4 linked regions of the Arabidopsis thaliana genome follow. The protein of the gene in region 1 interacts with the protein of each later gene in a pairwise test. Each region holds a gene or a part of one and is shown on either strand. Other genes may lie near its edges.

Evidence for each region.
Region 2: the proteins of AT5G03180 (region 1) and AT1G19240 interact in a protein complementation assay, tested with the Arabidopsis thaliana proteins (one large-scale study listed by BioGRID).
Region 3: the proteins of AT5G03180 (region 1) and ROP10 interact in a protein complementation assay, tested with the Arabidopsis thaliana proteins (one large-scale study listed by BioGRID).
Region 4: the proteins of AT5G03180 (region 1) and AT2G42390 interact in a protein complementation assay, tested with the Arabidopsis thaliana proteins (one large-scale study listed by BioGRID).

Annotation. Positions count from the first base shown.
Region 1 is NC_003076.8:752,958-758,545, forward strand, and holds AT5G03180 (RING/U-box superfamily protein), read right to left. Parts: upstream 3,677-5,588; 5' UTR 3,455-3,676; coding exon 3,377-3,454; intron 2,988-3,376; coding exon 2,532-2,987; intron 2,374-2,531; coding exon 2,205-2,373; intron 2,125-2,204; coding exon 1,669-2,124; coding exon of another isoform or gene 1,586-1,668; coding exon 1,494-1,585; intron 1,394-1,493; coding exon 1,244-1,393; 3' UTR 883-1,243; downstream 1-882. Other genes in the region: FLA11 (FASCICLIN-like arabinogalactan-protein 11), read right to left, coding at 1-681; CPUORF47 (peptide upstream protein), read left to right, coding at 5,582-5,588.
Region 2 is NC_003070.9:6,648,501-6,652,553, forward strand, and holds AT1G19240 (uncharacterized protein), read right to left. Parts: upstream 1,947-4,053; 5' UTR 1,885-1,946; coding exon 1,703-1,884; intron 1,195-1,702; coding exon 1,062-1,194; 3' UTR 743-1,061; downstream 1-742. Other genes in the region: AT1G19230 (Riboflavin synthase-like superfamily protein), read left to right, coding at 51-179, 261-339, 540-649; FMO1 (flavin-dependent monooxygenase 1), read right to left, coding at 2,156-2,522, 2,727-3,076, 3,163-3,341, 3,641-3,881.
Region 3 is NC_003074.8:17,729,566-17,734,401, reverse strand, and holds ROP10 (RHO-related protein from plants 10), read right to left. Parts: upstream 3,066-4,836; 5' UTR 2,842-3,065; coding exon 2,737-2,841; intron 2,412-2,736; coding exon 2,324-2,411; intron 2,126-2,323; coding exon 2,016-2,125; intron 1,923-2,015; coding exon 1,859-1,922; intron 1,764-1,858; coding exon 1,699-1,763; intron 1,598-1,698; coding exon 1,532-1,597; coding exon of another isoform or gene 1,490-1,531; exon of another isoform or gene 1,431-1,489; coding exon 1,327-1,430; intron 1,186-1,326; coding exon 1,161-1,185; 3' UTR 889-1,160; downstream 1-888. Other genes in the region: protein SUO, read left to right, coding at 1-132. UniProt on the Arabidopsis thaliana protein: Acts as a negative regulator of abscisic acid (ABA) responses.
Region 4 is NC_003071.7:17,650,548-17,654,582, forward strand, and holds AT2G42390 (kinase C substrate, heavy chain-like protein), read right to left. Parts: upstream 2,097-4,035; 5' UTR 1,963-2,096; coding exon 1,869-1,962; intron 1,774-1,868; coding exon 1,660-1,773; intron 1,481-1,659; coding exon 1,385-1,480; intron 1,259-1,384; coding exon 1,064-1,258; intron 974-1,063; coding exon 834-973; 3' UTR 559-833; downstream 1-558. Other genes in the region: AT2G42395 (uncharacterized protein), read right to left, coding at 3,019-3,255, 3,356-3,433; VOZ2 (vascular plant one zinc finger protein 2), read right to left, coding at 3,943-4,035.

The sequences.
Region 1 (5,588 bases):
CCCGAATCCAGTCCTCTCTGCATCAGATGAATCAGTAGAATCTCCTCCATCATCGCCACCGGAAGCTGAGCCTTTTGAAACAGAGCCGCCTTTCTCAGGGGCCGGAGCAGGAGCCACGCTTGATCCAAACATGGCTAATGGCAGCAAAACTTGATCAACCTGATAAACGGCCAGCTGCTTATCGCTGTAGACAGAGTTAGCCACGGTGGCGCTGACAACTCCAGTGGTGATGTTAACTTGGTTACCGGAGCTAGTGATGTTAAGAGGGAATTTACCGTTTTGGCCATCTCCAGCTTGCGTGCGTAAAGGGTTACTAACGGTTTGAAACTGAGGCATGGTTATGAGTGTAGGTAAGACATGGAACTGAACAAGCTGAACTTTTTGTTGGTCAGACAATGAGTTTAAGGTTCCGGATTTGAGGCTGTTGAAGGCGTTATCAGTCGGGGCAAACACGGTTAAGCCATTACTCGAGGAAGAATTGAGCTGAGTGTTGATTTGGTCTGAGGCTTGAGTGCTTTTAAGAAGTCTTATGAACAATGTGAATTGACCAGCCTTTTCTAGGATTGCGGTTATGTTCGTTGGACCTGAAGGGCCTGGAGCTGGAGCCTGACCATAAGTAGTGGCTATAACGAGGAAGAAGATGAAGAGATTAGAGAAAATGAATGTTCTTGAAGTAGCCATTGTTGTAGTTGTTGTGTGTGTATGTTGAGATGTTTTGGGGTTTGTTATATAGAGAGAGATGTAGTTTGGTGAAGAGTAGGATTCTCTTACTAGTGTGAAGATTATTACTAGGTAACTAAATGAGATTCTATCAACTAAGTCATTAGAGATTGGAAATGTTTCTTTTAGGTTTAATAAAGTTTGTTTGAATTGAGAAAGAGAGAGGAGAGACATTGCTTTGAAGGGAGAGTTTGGGTGGGTGAGGATTGAAAATGAAAAATGAACTGAAAAAGGTGTTATAGTGACCTGTCAAAAAAGCTGTGAAGAAGTGTTATCCAAGAAATATGGATTGCTAATCATACTACTGTTCATTATGATTTTATGTGTCATGTGTGTGCCTATCATCATTCCTTATATTTTAGTTGGCAAAAAAAAAAAGACTTGGAAGTATTGAAAACCAAATCTGATCTCAACCTAGACAAGTCGATTAAAGCTAAACCGAAAACCGAATCCCGACCGGTTAATTGAAAACCGATCCAACCCTTTAGGGACTCTAGCTTCACTCAAAAGATCTACGCTGCTGTCAAACCACCTGAGTACTTGCTGGCTCTTCTGGCAGGTGGGAATTGCTTCTCCTCCATTTCAAATACTCGTTAATAGCTGTTGTGCCGGTCATGGTGAGTCCAAATCCGATCATAGTGGCTAAGACAATGCACATTACCGGCTGCTTCACCTACACACAAGTTAATGAGAGAGAGTGTGAGGAATCAAAAACTCTTCAACAAAGTAAGGTTTCTCTGTGACAACAAAGTAAGGTTTCTCTGTGACATTACATCAAATCTTACAACTCTGTAGAAAAGCTGAGCGAAAAGGACCACAAAACCGAACTGAACGGTGGCGTAGATCCATACATAGTTCTTCTTCACTGCAACAAACCAAACCACTTAAGACTGATGATCAATATAGAATACGAAAAAATATATAATTTCGAAGTAGCTTCTTTATTACCCATTGTTGTTGATATCATTGATGCAAGAAGACCGATAATGCAAGAGAACGGTAAAGCTATTGCAACGGCGCTAGATTTCATATCTATAATCAGAAGCTGTTCAAGGAAACAGAAGTATGCAAGCATGCTTACAATGACAAGAATTGGAATATCTTGCCATACATTATTGAACCGTGAAATCTCGATATCCCTGGCTGCTCTAGAACGGTTTTGAGAATCCTGCACACGTAGAAGGGTAACCGGGAGATTTCTCACCTCTTGCTTACACACATCACATGTTATGTTCCCTTTAATTGTAAACCATTTGATAGTGCACGTTTTGTGGGCAAGAGCTAGTTCCCCTTTGCACATACATTCCATCTTAAAAGCTTCTTCATCTTCTTCCATTTCAACCATACAGATTCTACACACAGCTTCTTCTTCAGGAACATCTTCTCCACCATCATCATTTTCATCTGAACACATATCACATAGTTTGTTACATAGAGTCAAAATATGGCATCACAAAGATATGTCTGGGAAGGTGATTTGTAACCGTGGAGTTTACTCAATTTCGATGCCTGCGTCATCTCTAGTCTCTTCTCATCCCCACGAGACGGAGTAGGAATCACGCGGAAAACACTTGACGGCTTTACACTTCCATCTTTGTTGAAGAATGTGGGGACAGAGCGTGTACGACGAATAGGCAGTAAACGCTCCCCTTTCTAGTAAAAAGAACAGTAAAATCAAGTAAAGCAGAAGATAAACAGCTTCTCTAAAGCTAAGACAAATGGAAAATGAATCAATTCATCAACTGAAATACTCAACAAGATAATCTCCCTTATTAATGGTATAACCAAGTTTTGTAAGATAGAATACTGACCATGGATGTAACCGGATCAACCTCAACGGCATACCTCCCGTTCATGGACTCAGGGTTTGAGTGAGTTATAAAAGACTCTGTCTTCTTAGATTTTCTAGGAGCTAAGAGATTAGTGAGAGACCATGTTCTTGGAATATAAGACTTATCACTACCATCTCCTAAAGGGGACACAACACCTTCCTCAATATCTGCACTGTGGTTCCTGTTTTTGAAATTCTTCTGATTCGTTCTGTTTCTTGACGAGGAAGGACTCATTGATCCAACACGTCTCCCAGTTCTAGGGCTGGACATTGGAGAAAACTTGAACCTTTTGGAAACGGGGCTATGAATTAAGGAACCATTTGCTCTCAAGAAATCGCCATGAGCTTCTCTCGATTGTATATCTAACACAAGGCCTCGCCATCGTTGATGTTGGCTCGGTGATAGCATTTCTGTTATCTCAGTAGAATCTCCAACCTGGAAAACTCAAAAGAAGACTTTTGTATCAGTTCCTCACAAAGTTGGATCCTTGAAAACTCATGTTCCTCAATGAGCAATTACAATCCCTAGATTTTCACAAAAATGTGTGCCTTAAACCTGGAATCTCCGGAAAACATAATTGAAGCAGTTCCATGATTTACAAGTGACAATTCAACAAGTACTAATGATCAAAACAATCCCTTAAACCCTGATCTTATAACCCTAAACTCTCAAGAGCTAAGCTAAATCAGAAAGAAAGAAAAAGAAGATCAATTTTGAGATACCCATGAACTAAAAACCACTGAAATTAGCTTAAAGCATGAATCTTTCAGGAAAAATTCAAAATTTTGGGAATTGAGTTAAGACTTAAGAGTGAGAAAACTCACCATTAGAGCTGGAGAAGTACCTTCGCAAGACCAATGTTCTACTACTTCGCGATATTTATCTTTATCATCCATCACCATCAAATTACAAAACCCAGAAACAGTGAAGTAAAAGAAGAATCTCAGGAAAACAAAGTATCAATCTTTGGGATTAATTTGCTTAAAAGGACTAATTTTTAGGAGAAATGATAATCTGAGAAAGAAGCTTTTGATCAAGAACACTCATATAGGTTGCTTCAATTTTGTGTGCTTACTCAGTGCCTGCCCCGTTTCTCTCAACTAAAGAAGTAAATTGGATTCGGCGGTTTTTATTTTTATTGTTTTGTCTCTATTACTTACTTAAGTAATAACCTCTTTTTTTTTTCTAATTTTGGTATATATCTTTAACCAGTGGTGCATATAATTTTGAATCAAAATTTCCAGCTTACATGTCAAATAAAAATTGTCTTCAACATTCTTGTGAAAGAAGAAAAAGAAAATCATGTTTCTATTCAAAAATTTGAATGCATCAAATGTGTAAAGCAATAGTAAGAAGGTAATCAAGTATGGCAGCCCACTCAAATGTATGTACAGATTACAGATATTCATAACATTTTAAAAAATGATTCAAAAATGGTTTATGGATATTATCTGAACTTCTGCTGAATGTTTTAGAACATTTCACAAATAGGTTATGTGTATTTCTGATCATATTTGGAACAAAATCTGATTAAACAAAAAAAAGAAACAATGAATTTTTTAAAAACAAAATCTGAACATATTTATAACAGAAAAAGAGATTAGGAAAAAAATATTATGTATGAAAATTTTGTTGGAAGAAAAATACAGATTGTCTTTACTTATTTAGATGTGCAATGCTGAGTTTATCTTATACTGCTTTTGAAAGATAAAACAACAAAAAAAATACTTTTGTAATTTATTTATTAATTGGGAAAAAGGAGAAAAAGTATAACATTTCGAGAGAAAGAAGTAAATAACATTGAGAGTGATAAACCTTTGGACAACAATTTAAAATTCTGTCGAGATAAGAACGACTCATAACGCAAAATATGGTAGTTACGCTGACACAAACAAAGAAATAATGGATAAGGCAAAATGTAACACGCATCACACCTAAGTAGGATCGATGTCTCAACAAACACATGTACAAGTGTACATCAAACCGACTAAATGTATAGATTATGTTTATGATATGAATGACTATAAGATGGTTAACAATGTGAATTTTTTTTCACGAAACTATATCAACGACGTGTCGAAAGAGCATGTAATCTTACAAATCTGATAGCATTTTTAGTGCTATACTCTGAAGGCTGAAGCACATGAAAGATGAAATGAAATCATGCTTGACAGAAAATGGGACGGTGACGATATCAAAAGCAAAAAAATAATTGTGGAAGGCCCAACTCGGCCCAACTTAGCCAAAACTGTGTGGCCACCACTCGACTCGTGTTCGATCCAAAACATAATAGGTTTACATTTTACAAATTTTCAGAGTTTTTTTTTGCTAACTTAAAAAAAAAAAAAAAAGAGAGTTTATCTATGCTAGGTTGGATGATTAATATGATTAGCGTACAATATTATTTCTTTTTTACAACCATTCAAAAAAATTAGTTTCCTAAAAACTTTTTAAGAAAATTAAAACAGAAACTACTTGGGATCAACACGTATGTGTTCACCACCCACACGGATATGGACACTGTGTAGGGACAACAGCCAAATTCAACATCAAATAATTATTTCGAAGGCACAGACAATAAGTGGGAGCCACTCGTTTTTGTCAAAAATATTGAATAACAAATTAGCGATATAAACAATTCTCACTTATTCTGTTTAAAAAAACGATTATTGGTAGTTTGGTACTACTACTCAATAATCATAGAAGACCATGAAAACGAAATCCACGTAGTATGTGTATAATCACAAACGGTCAAACATTTAACATTAGCATAAATTCTTGTCACGTGGCAATATTGTGGCGGTAGAATTTTAACATTGTGGTTAGCTTCACCATTAAATCTGTTAAAAGCGCTTCCTCACTCACTCTTCTTCCCCAAAAAAAAAACAAGACAGAGGAAGAGAATCACGAAACCATAGTCCCAAACCCTTCGAATCTATAAGCATTTCTCAAACACAATCAAGAAACTGTGTTTAGCTTTTAGATTTCTACAAGCATGTAAGACGAGATTTTGTTTCTTTTTTTTCTGCATGGTGG
Region 2 (4,053 bases), on another chromosome or scaffold:
TTACCATTGATCGATATACTAACATATTCCTTCATCTTCTCGTAATACAGGGCCAGATTGAGTTGCACAACTACCTTACAAGCGTATATGATGAAGGTGATGCAAGATCAACCCTGATAAAAATGGTCCAGGCTTTGAACCATGCCAAACATGGAGTTGATATTCTATCCGGAACACGGGTAAGAATTGATGCAGGGCATATAACCAGAAACTATTTGCCAATATTACCTATAACTGACAAAATAACATCATTCAAACAGGTGAGAACACATTTTGCAAGGCCCAACTGGAAGGAAGTCTTCAGTAGCATAGCAAGAAAGCATCCAAATTCGACAGTCGGTAATTATTCTATACAATCAGCTGCTTACCATCAAGACATCTTATAAATCTCTCTTCTAGGACTAACGAATTAATACCATTGGAAAAGAAAGAAAACTTGCAATAGGAATTATGACACATGCAAACACATGAACATGTCTGCTAATATTTAGGCCAGGTATTACGAAGCATATGTGAAAACAATTTATATAATTGTGCAGGAGTGTTTTACTGCGGCATACAAACCGTGGCAAAGGAGTTGAAGAAGCAAGCACAAGACATGAGTCAAAAAACAACCACACGGTTCGAGTTCCATAAGGAGCATTTCTAATTCAATGTTACAAGCCAGCTTCTATCACTTTCCCTAAAGTGAGATTCAAATCCAGCCCGCCATTATTTTTTTTCACACTAACTTCACAGTCACTTAGCAAAGTAGATTATATACACTATGTTAAAAAAGGAAACATTGTCTTGCCTGTTTGTATAGACCCCGCCTAAAGGCATGAAAATAACAAATCTAAGTTACTATACGAAATAATATACGTGTCTTTCCCAAGATGATTCAATCTCTCTTTCCATTACCACAAGCTACTAGTCACAAAGGCAGAGAAGCAAACAACAAATTTTCATTGATAAGGTGCCTCAGCACAGTATATTGGTACTAAAACACATTCAAGGATAAGAATAGAGTAATGCCTTTGTGCTAAGTGTACCAAAACTTGCAGTAGAAGACGAGGTTGGAGTTAATCATCCTTTATTCTTCTCAGTAATTTAGAAGCCCAGCGTCGAACCCGTCTCTTAAGTGTATAACCCACAAACACTCCAGCGACAAAGAAAACAGCGCACAACTTTGAACACGTCCAGACCGAAACTCCGCTGCCACCAAACACAGTCCCAAGATAGGTCAGATAATTTTCTTAAATTAGAACTAATAGTACACAAAACACGTAAAGCCATTACATATTAGTCGAATCAATCAGAAACAACCCAAAGCTCCTACTAGATAGTCTATAATCGACCTGCACAGTTTTGTTCCTCGGGTATCTAAGATCTTAGATCATTTGAACAAGCCATTACAAATTTACAAGCTCTGTGTGATGTGGAACTGGGAAATCATCATGGTCTCTAGGTTTTGAGCTATAACACAAAATCTGCCCTCTTTTTCATTTTTGTTCCATCTTTTTAAAATTTCTCTCAAGCAGGCAGACCAATTCATAATCCATCCACAGAAATAGTGATTATTATTATCATCCTTCCCATAATTAGAGAGAATCTGAAAAATTGGAGACATGCCCTCACTCACTCACCCAAAATTCTTAAAAGTTCTTAGCTTTACTGGCAAAATGATCTCTTTTCGAACAAATATTGAATAGAAGCAGCTTACCTGGGAGGTCTGGTTACCAGAGTGCCGGATCCTGCGTCGTATGTAGTAGTCAAGTTGCCGGCGGCGGCTCGTTTGTCTTGCATCAGATTATCCGCAAAATCAGATAGAGAAGACGACGAAGAAGAAGCTGCCGATTTCGCTTCTTTCACCATCTTGCTGTAAAACTTCTCCAAACCCTCCATTTCTGGCCGATCAATTAGGGTTTAGGGTTCAATGATGATTCCAGTCATGAAGGAAGCGATTGCTAAATTGACTTCTCGTTGACCAAAAGGACAAAATTGGAATTTCATAATTACTAGTTGAAAATAATCCTTGACCAAGGTCATACAATAATACAATATTATTATATAAAATATCATGTACTTTACACATACATTTATTTATTCATTAATTATACATCCATCACACAACAATTCGTAACAATTTCATTTTGTAATATATATTCAATTTAGTTTAAGCAGTCATATCTTCTTTTTCTTCTTGACCGAGTCGGTAATCTTGAGAACCATAAGGACTAAAAGCTTCAAGGAGGAAGTTGGATTTACGCCAAGGATTGAGTCCCATGTCGTTGCACATATCATCAGCATGTTGGATGCTGAACGTGGAAATGCAATGACGTTTGTAGAATCTGCTTGAGTTTCTCGTCACTTCCATTTCTTTTAAGAATTGATCCAACATCTTCTCTTTGCTTGGTAATCTGAATTTCTCATCCACTAGCCGGCTTAGCCACATTGAACGTAGCTCTGATGTGTGTAAGTTCGAGCTGCTTTGGACGTATCCTACGAAACCCATGTTTGGTATCAATGGATGGATTGTTCCCCTGTAAATGATTTAGTTTGTATAAGCAACGGTCCAAATTTCATGAGTATACTAATAAAAGAATATATAGGCTTCCACTTGTACCACTGAATATGTTTATAGTCATAGAACTATATATTATAGCATGATCGTCTTTTTAAGTGTGCAACTAATGCATTTTCACATAATTTCAATTAATCTAAAGACGATTTTTATGTGTATGTACCTGTATAAAGGCATGACACCGCTTGGAAACTCAAGCCAAGTTCGGAAAGGTTCAGGAACAATAGCTTTGAGCTTCTTCTTGCCATCATAACCAGTAGCAAGTATCACAACATCAGCTTCTAATGTCGTCCCATCTTCAAACACAATCCCTTCTTCATAAAACCACCATTTTGATGATTTCTTAAACCGGATCATCCCTTTATCCGCTTCCTCAAAGAAATTCTCCGGTATGATCGCCATTTGACAAGAAGCATAGTCTTCCTCGAAAGAATGGTTTGGTTTTAGACCATATTTCTCAAGAGGTAGCTTCCATAAAACATATGATTCGATGAACTTGGAAACTACGGCACGCTGTTGTCACATATATGTTAAGAAACTTATAAAATTCTCAAGATTTTTGCATATAGAGAAGTGAAAAAGGTAATAAGATGACTAACCAGAAGAGAGAAGAGGAGGCAAAAGAGAGTTCTAAGGAAGCTTTGGTTAGGCCTATCATGGAGGAACTGAGAAGCTCTCGAAGAGTAGAACAAGAAGAATGGTAAGCCCCACACCCAATAATGTGGGATCCCCCAATGAGTTGTTCTCACCACCATTGTGCAAGCTTTTCCTCCTTCCCCTGCAAAATTTAAATATTATATTTAATTATGGGAATCAGATTAAATAAAGATCGAAATCGGTCATCTTAGGATATATATTTAATATGTTGTTTAATTAACTTGCGAGTAACTGTTTAATTGTTGCCAACTAGAACCATATACGTTCCAAGTCCAACCGAAAAGAAATAATATATACTAGTAAGTAAGACAATTATTGCTATCACTATATAGTATATATATTTTATCTTTATTTTGACTTGATCAGCCAATTATTAAGAGTGAAGCTAATTTATATAAATAGACATAGATATCTATGTACCTTGATTAGCTAAAGCAGACTCTAAAGCCAAATCAATGGCGGATTTCTTGAAGCCGATGACGGCTACTTTTTTGCCACTGAGGAGAGTAGAAGCTTCTTCTTTCTCTAACTTGCAGTAATCCATCGAATGCATTACTTTTCCTTGAAACATCTCCGGCCCTTTCTTTGCCGGAAAAGCTGGTATTCTTGGAACGTCGCCGTATTTCCCGGTACACACAACCACGAACTCAAATGCATGCCACTGCACACAAAAACATTGATATACAATATTTCATAAATGATGCATGCAGTAATATGGCAGTTTGAGATCCGGCTTAGGCTTCAAAGTTACCGAAAAACAATCGAGACAAACATTGAGATACGTAAGTTTAAATATGCGTATGCACCATTTGCTCGTGTAAATGCATGCATAT
Region 3 (4,836 bases), on another chromosome or scaffold:
CAATTATCCTCATCTGCTTCCTTACCTTTGAAGGAGGATCAAGCAAGAATGTATCAAATGTCAGGTGGTGTTCTGAAGAGGAAAGAACCGGAAGGAGGATGGGATGGATATAGGCAGTCCTCATGGCAATAACAGTAGCTCAGAATCTCAGTAGGCCACATGAGCTTGTAAGCCCTCGAAATCCACAAACCTTAGTGTTTTATGACCTCTCTTTTTGTTTTTCTCTCTCTTACTAATGTTTCAGTTACATTTTTACTCTGCTAGTTACTAAGAGATGAGAGTGAATGTGATGCCACAAGGCTTCATTGGCTGGCCTGCTCTGTACAAATGAGGCATGGGTGAGTCAATTTGCGACTTCACAGTGGTCTCAACCTTTTTAAGAACACAAACCTGACCTCTTGGTTTCACCATCATGTAGATCTTCCAAAAACAGTCCTAAATTCACCGGAGTGGCCATTCTCTTTCAGAAGAGTCATCAACAAGGTTCTCAGCGAGAGACCCGCATCACCACCTCCCCACAAAGAGTTTTAAAAGGTGAAAACACACTTTTAGGTCATTTTTCATGCATGTGTGTATCTCTATACACCGGCTCAAAAAACTAGCGATAAAACAAATGTTGGTGGCTTTTGAGTGTGTTCAAAATGATAAAAAAAAAAGTCTTTCGCATTGTGGCTTTACATGTGTGCGTTAGGTGATGGGGGTTGTATTATAGACACAAGATTAGTTACTTCTTTTTATCTTTCTTTTTCCAGTTTGTAGATTTATTACTTCTTGTGCTGGTTCTGTTTGAAATTTACAGGCTTCTTCTTACTTGTCACGCTTTTGTCGTTTGGTCTTGGATCTCATAATAGGACCAAATAAATTCGAATATGTGATTAAGGATTCACCTTTTTTCGAAAGAAGCAAGTGTTAACCACGTTAAGTCGTGAACTACTCCAAGTTTTGGCTACAAAATGGCTATAACAATTCTATAAGGGTCAAACCAAATCGAAACAAACAAACATCAGGGTCACATATACAAACAGAATCGAAGAAGCTACTAATTGAGGCTCATCTCTGCCAGAGTCTATGTAATTCCGACTTATCAGAATCACAAACTGGCCAATTAGAAAAGAAAAGAAAAAAAAAGAAGTGAACAATCATCAGATGGAATTGACTCATCAATTCTTCCCACACAGAATGTTTCTGCACAATAGAGAAGCCAATCTATAATCATTACACAAACAAACAAAACTGTATGAAGAAGCTAAAGGTTGCATAACCAAATTCTAGTATTACATAATTTCTTAGTTATATATTAAAAAGAGTGAAGATTATTGAACTTACGAGAGACATCCGCTGCGAGGCTTCTGCTTCTTCTTCTTCTCCTTTTGTTTCACTGCTGGTTTAATTACTACTTTAATAGCAGCATCAAATACGGCTTTCACATTCTGCAAAAGCCATGAACCAAAGAAAAGCATATAGTTTGCAAGTAAAGAGTCACCTAACACTAATGACTCCTAAGTTTCCAAACACACATGAACAAGTGTACCTGTTGAGTTTTTGAGCTACATTCAATGTAATAAGTCGCTCCGATATGCTTGCGGAGTTCCTCTCCCTGTAACACATGAATGATTAAATCATATAAAACCTAGAGAAGAGAGAGTCTAGAGAATGTCACAACAATCTTTTCGGTTTCTACAGGTTGAAAAAGCACACCTGTGATGTAGTTACCGGGGACAGTCCAGGATGATCAGACAAGTAATGTCTATCTTCACGAAGATCTAGATAACGGAACATTGTAAGAAACATTACATATATGTGATTCTCAAGCATTACACAAGGAAATATGTTGGCTCCACTCTTATAGCTATCTTACCCATTTTGGTACCAACAAGCACAATGGGGACTCCTGGTGCAAAGTGTTGGAGTTCAGGGATCCACTGAACAAAATAAACGCTTCAAAAACATCAGAAATTCACATTTCATTCTTTGTTTTCCCAGTAAGAAATACAATGAATCCAATTTCCACAAACCTTTTTAAACACATTCTCATAGCTAGCTCGGCTGATCAATGAGAAAGCCAACACAAAAACATCTGCTCCTCTGTAACTTAAAGGCCTTAGTCTGTTATAGTCTTCTTGCCCTGCAAACATGAAAGGGTACTCATAATCATAAAACTCTTAACAGTCACTAATCTTCAACACTCCCTATAAAGTTCTCTATCTAAGAATCCCAAATCAAAAGCAAACTTGCTAGATGTTAGAAAGATTAGAACCACATAACATTAGTGAACTTGGTTATTCTGAGATATTCAAGAGAGGGATACAGAAATGTTACTTACCGGCAGTGTCCCAAAGGCCTAAGTTCACAGTGATGCCTTCAACCACAACATTAACACTAAAGTTGTCAAAAACTGTTGGTATGTAGTCCTGATACAATCCATCAAGCAAATCTTTAACTTCACGAGAACAACAAATGCGCAATAGAGTAAGAGGAAACACTGGTGAATCAAGAAAGCCACTAACTTTACAATGTAAGATTTTTCAGAATCTCCAAAAAAGGATTATTTTTGCACAATCCCTAAAAAAGGAGCTAACTTTGAAATACCATGCTAAAATTCTCGGTGAAAGAGTTGAAATTTGACAGACCCAGAAGTATATTCAACTAAAAGTGACGAAATTGGAGATGCCCGAAAGAACAATTTGATGAAAAATCAGCGAAACTGTGATTTACTTGATCAAATTTTAAACTTACAGTAGGGAATTTGTTGCTAGTGTAGCAGATGAGCATACAAGTTTTTCCAACGGCACCATCTCCAACAGTCACACATTTGATGAATTTTGAAGCACTCGAAGCCATTCTAACTCACCAAAAGCAAACAACTTTCAACGAAGAAACGCCCAAAAACCAGAGAGATTGTGAGAGAGATAATAGAGAGATAAATGAAGTGATTAACATGAGGAAGTGTGGTAATAAACTATATAAACCCCATATGATTAAAAAAACTAAACTCTCTTTTTTTTCACTTTTCTTTCAATATTTTCAAAGTTTCAATTTTGTATTTTTGTCTCTTTCGTTTTTTGGTTTGAAGACTGAAGAGAGGGAAAGAAGAGGGGCTCACATGATATATCCATCTAATCCACATGACTTTTCTAAATCGTTTCATATTTATCGCTTTTACAAATGTATTAGATTTTAACCCGTGGTATACCGCGAGACGATTAATTTTTTAAAGGTAATATATATTAAAACTTGCAAATTTTATTTTTATAAAATATTTATATTTTACGGTTTATAATTGTTATTAAGTAACGCTATGCCACGAATCTATAAGACAATTGTTAAAAAACTGAAGTTTTAACCCTTATTAAAACAGCATATTAATAATATTTTATAATTTTATAAATATTGATTCAAATACATCCACCATATAACCGAATTCCAAAATAAAACTCGTTCTGTAATTTCTTTACCCGTCCCGTGAGTTTTTTTTTAAGTCGTAATTTTTAAAATTTAAGAATTATTTATTATATATAAAAGTTTTGCAAATTGTATCATTCTCTAATACATTTATATTTTATAGTTTAATTTTATATATAGTAACATTATACATATCACATAACATTTTTGGTTTTATATAATATTTTCTAAATTAGGATAATTTGATATGTTTAATATTAGTGGTCTTAAAAAATAATAAATTAAAGATTTTACCCGTATTGAAACGGTGGATTAATTATATTTTACTTTTTTATTAATGTTGATTCAAAAACCCGTCCTTCTAAATCCGTCTTGCCAAAAAGCCATTTATTTTATTCATATTAATTTTATTTATGATATGACTCTGAATTCTAAACATTTTAGCTAATAACATAGGAGTGCACCATATTTATTTAATAGGGGAATGTACCATATGACCCGAATGCACTTTTATCCAAATCCACCAAAAAAATCTTGCAAAAATACTATAGAGATAAGAAACGATAGTCGGTTTTAATAGGTATAAGATTAGCAAATATATTAGTTAGCTTAAATTAGTTAAAGAATACAAATTAAAAAGGTATATTACACTTTATTCGAATATAATATCAAAACTTATATAACACAGAGATTTGATAAATTTTTAATTGTTGAATACTTTTTTTTTGTACAAATTTTTATGTGATTAAGATTTATTGATTTCGTATATAAAATATTAAATTGTTTTACGAACTTATTTGTTTATAATTTGGTAACAGAAAGATATTTGAATATTCGGTATATTTTGCTTTAGTTTAGAAAATCTTTGATGACCCGTCTTTAGATTCAACAAGCCCTATAATTAAGAAATGAATATTGTCGTTAAATGATTTTGGTAACCTTAATGATGTCATTAAAAGATTTTGTTTTTGATTAAATTTTTCTAATGGTATTGTCATGTAATTAATTACAAAAATTAAGGTTACATTTAAAATGTATTTCCCAAATAATATAGTAGGATTAAAAGGATACTAAAAGCTAATCACATGCTTAAGAAGCATTGATTATAGTACGTTATTTCTTTTTCTTTATCGGTTGATCCTTCTTATTTTGTTTAGCATTAAAAACTGTTATATTTTGCCATCATTTTTTTTGTAAGATTCTGGCATTACTCATTACCAATTAATTGTATAGATTATTTCAATAAAACAAATTTTACCTGGTTCTAGCTAGGAGAAATGAACATAACTTGGTTAAACACATATGTAGTTATAGAAGAGAGAAAGATATATATATATATAGGAATTAGGATTAACTCTGAATTGGGGACTTTTAAGTTTTGGAAAATAGCAACCAAACTTTTCCTTCTTTTTTTCTGTAACATCTGCTATCAAA
Region 4 (4,035 bases), on another chromosome or scaffold:
TTCTTACAGAATCTGCACTGGCGAAATCTTGGTCTGCTTCACTCGTTAGAGGTGACCTTAAACTAAACTATGTGACTAGTTTTCCGTTGAGAAGTGAAGAAAGCAGCTGTCGAAGTGCAACTCAAGAAAATGGAGGTAAAATAAACTTAGCAATAGAGAGCTGATACTGTTTCAATGTGATTGAGAACAATGAGAAGTGAAGTGTTTGTGAATTTGTTTCACTGCAGGAGGAACTAGAGAAGAAGAAAGCAGGAGTATGCAGAGAGGATGAATTAGGTTTCAGTGACTCACAAGGAAGCAGAAGAAAGAAGTGCAATGATTGAAGGTAAGCGTGGAGAAGCAAGAAGAAACGGCTGCTAAAATACTGGGCCATTAGAATTGTTCCAAAGGCAACTTGTGGATGTTTCCAATCTTGAGTTTACAAATCATTTTTTCAGGATTTTTTAACTGTAAATTTCTCTCTTCTCTTCAATGGCTTGTAATGTTTTTTGTATATTGATTTTGTCTGTGAGAAACAAACAAGAGTTCATTTTCATAAAACCTTATATCAGTCGAATAATTCACCATGAGATCATTCAAATTGTGAATCCATCCATTTTCTAGAAAATCTGCAGATCATGTGACTATCTTACTTGTGATAAGACTCATCGGTACCTACTATGGTCTGAGGATCTGAAGGCTTAATAAACATGAAGACCAAGACAATTATGTAACTAGGAACAAACAATCTCACACTGAATAAGTATAGCTAGTAATGACACTTGACATATGTGGCTTTAACACTCAGGTTCCACGTAAAAGCTTCACAAAAGTATAATACAAGTTCCAGGGAGTTAGTTAGCTGATCTATTAATGGGAGGTACATTCTTCAGCAGATAGCGTCGTCTCTTAGACCGAGCACGACTCCTAAGCATCCATAAGATCACTAAGAAACCGATAAAAACCATCTGAAGAGCGAAAACAAGCTTCATACCTGGAAACAACAACAACAACAATTGTTTTTGTATCAGTTTGCTAGACAATCAAACAAAACAAATAAGCTTCCCAAGAAAAGTTGCAAAACCTTGTAGATTCTTGACCATGTCCTGAAGATTTCCTATAGTATAAAACTCCTTTGGATGAGGCGTTGAACCGAGTTGCAAGTGTATAGATTTAAGGTTGGCTCTAGGTTTGTAGATGTAGTTAACGTTACCACCCATTATACAAGTGTTGGGACAATGAATGCTACTTTCGTACTCGTCGCTTCCATCGCAGCAATCTGAGAAACAGACAATGTCATGCTGCTTATCCAATCCAACAAAAACATGTAGATTACTAGCATACAGCAAGAGACAGCTGAAACGAGAATCATTTAGTCGAATTCAGAACATTAGTAACTACTGACCACAGATTCGATCATTCACACGAGAAGAGTAAACGAACTTTGGAGAACTTCCAATGTTCCTACAGTAAAATTTGCCATTTGGACATGCCGAAGTTCCTGTAATGCAAAATCAGAAATTCAGAAACTTACTCACAAGAACACATTTTTCATAATTGAAATTGTGAAAGAGAATAAGATTCGATCAATTCTAGTCCTAAATCTTTTTATCTGGAAAGAATTTAAAGTCTCATGTCATCTCAGCTCTCTGGATTCTAAATTGAGAAAAAAGTGTGTACCAGGCTCATCGGTGCCGTCGAGACAATCGCAGAAGTTGTCGTTGAGACGATCTCTTGTGAAAGATTTGGAGCCATCTTTGCATTTGATAACATCTGAGTCGAAATACTTTTCATCTGCCTCACAACAAAGAAGTAAGTAAGAATCAGAGAACAAGAACATTTTTCAGATTTGTCGATATAATAAAGATAAGAGTCATCGAAGAAGTAACCTAAAGGGTGAACACCAACGAGGGGAGAGGTCGAAGCGACGGAGATGACGACGACGGCGAGTGACGAACACAACACGACGCATTGCAGCAGCATCCGTTGACTCGCATTTGGTTAAACCGACGTCGTTTTAAGATTCGAGTGGATTATTCCGACCAGATTCTCTCTTTACGATTTCGGCTTTTAAGTTTCAAGTTAAGAATAAGTGGAGTGGCCAGATATTTGATTCGATGGGCTTTGAATTATATTGGGCTTTGAGTTTTCATTTAATACTACAGTGTTCAGTATTCGACTATTAAGAAAAGAAAAAAAATCTACAATTCAGGTTATTATTAAAACTTGATTTAATTCTTGATTAATAAACTAAATTAATTTGATTATTTTAGTTTGGTTCATTTTTTCTTCTAAGTTTTTTTTTCAATGTGAATCAAAACTCTTACTCAAACGTTCTTAAATTGTGTTTGTACTACGGAGTCCCATCACCTCTTGGCTCTTGTTCAAGAGCAAAAAGTTGAGAAACATCCAAGCCTTCAAGAATGAGACCATCAACACCATTTTGAAATCAAGTAATGGCTGGAGAAGGCATAACAACTTGAACAGAAGAAGTTTGAACCACGAGTGAAAGAAGTGTAATTCGAAAGACTTCAAGTCACGGTTATTTGCGGTTAGCTGGTAATGAAGAATGAACCACTCTAAGAAGCAACCAACTTCTACAACATAAAACAGTTGTGAGCCGTTGTGATTTTGTAGTTAAGTTGACTGCTTTTCTTCTTATATACCTTCTTCTCTAGACTATGTCCATTTTATCTCACAAGTGATTTTTCACAAGACATTAGATCCCACGAGTCATAAGTAACACACAGAGCCAACACTTAGCACCTAAACCATTAACCTAAACAACTTTTAGTTCCTCCTTCTAGTTCTCCCTCTAAAAATCATGGACTCGGACAAGAATAGACCAACAAGACTGACTTCTCCATTATTACCCTTTTGCATCTCCTATTCATTTGTCCTAGTCTGGTCCATACACCCAAAGCAATGGACCTCAAAATATGATAAAAAAATGTGACAATACAAGTCTATTTCTTACTAACCAGTAAACCAAACCAAAGAATTTCAAATTAGAGCAACCTAAGCCTCATCCTCCTCTGTTCAAGTTGTTGTTGTTGTTCTTGCCTTCATTCTTTTCTGAGATTCTCTGAGATATGCTTCAGCTTTTCTACCTTTTAAAAGTTCCCTGAAAACCTTTGTCACAGTGGTTTGTTCTACACCATGAATCTCCTTCATGAAATTGATCATCTCAGGAAGAGTGTAGAAATTTTCACAGCAGAACAAGTAGCTATCTCTCACTTTCTCCTCTTCCTTGCTCAAAACAGGTTGACTACTTTGCTGTTCATTTACGACACAAATTGTATGAATCAGTGAGAATTAGTGAATTACAAATACGTAAAATCAAATACATAATTCATCAGCCAGAATTTTGAATTACTTGTGCTTCAGTAGTCGTCGTAACACACTTTCCCTCTGATTTCTCTGCTTCAAACGAGCTACCAGAATTTTTCGCCATTACTCTCTCTGTTGGTGATTTGCTTGTAATTTAGGGTTTAAAGAGAACAAGGATGCTCTTGTCGTCTGCTGTCTCCCTTTTTCTAGCCCAATTTTATAAACGGCCCAGTAAAGCCCAATTACATAATCTGAGAGCATTAGTGACTTGTATTGGTTTCAAGTTTCATTCACACACACACGTAGATAAGAATTGGAATAAAGAATCAATGGTGTTGCAAATGTACCTTTGAAATATGAATACACCACTTCGTTAACAAAATCCTTGTGGTTTTAAAGGAGAAAAATAAAATGCAAAAATTTACAAACCCATCTACGATTCTATCAAGAAAAAGGGCAAAGACCAGACTTGTCCATATTAACACAACACATCAAAGATCCTATCTCTTCATAATACAGTCAGAAAGAAAAAAAAAAAGAAAACAGAGGTGGCGATGGCTCTTTTGTAGAATGCTGGAGACAACTTGGAGCTATTGTTGCAGGAGTCTTGAGTTAGATTACCAATAGCTAACTTCACTCCTTACGACCTTTGGTTGGAGGAGAGGGTTTGTCTGAAGCCACTTTAAACTGTCCCATCTTCTTCTGCAGATCAGCCAGAGGGTCTTT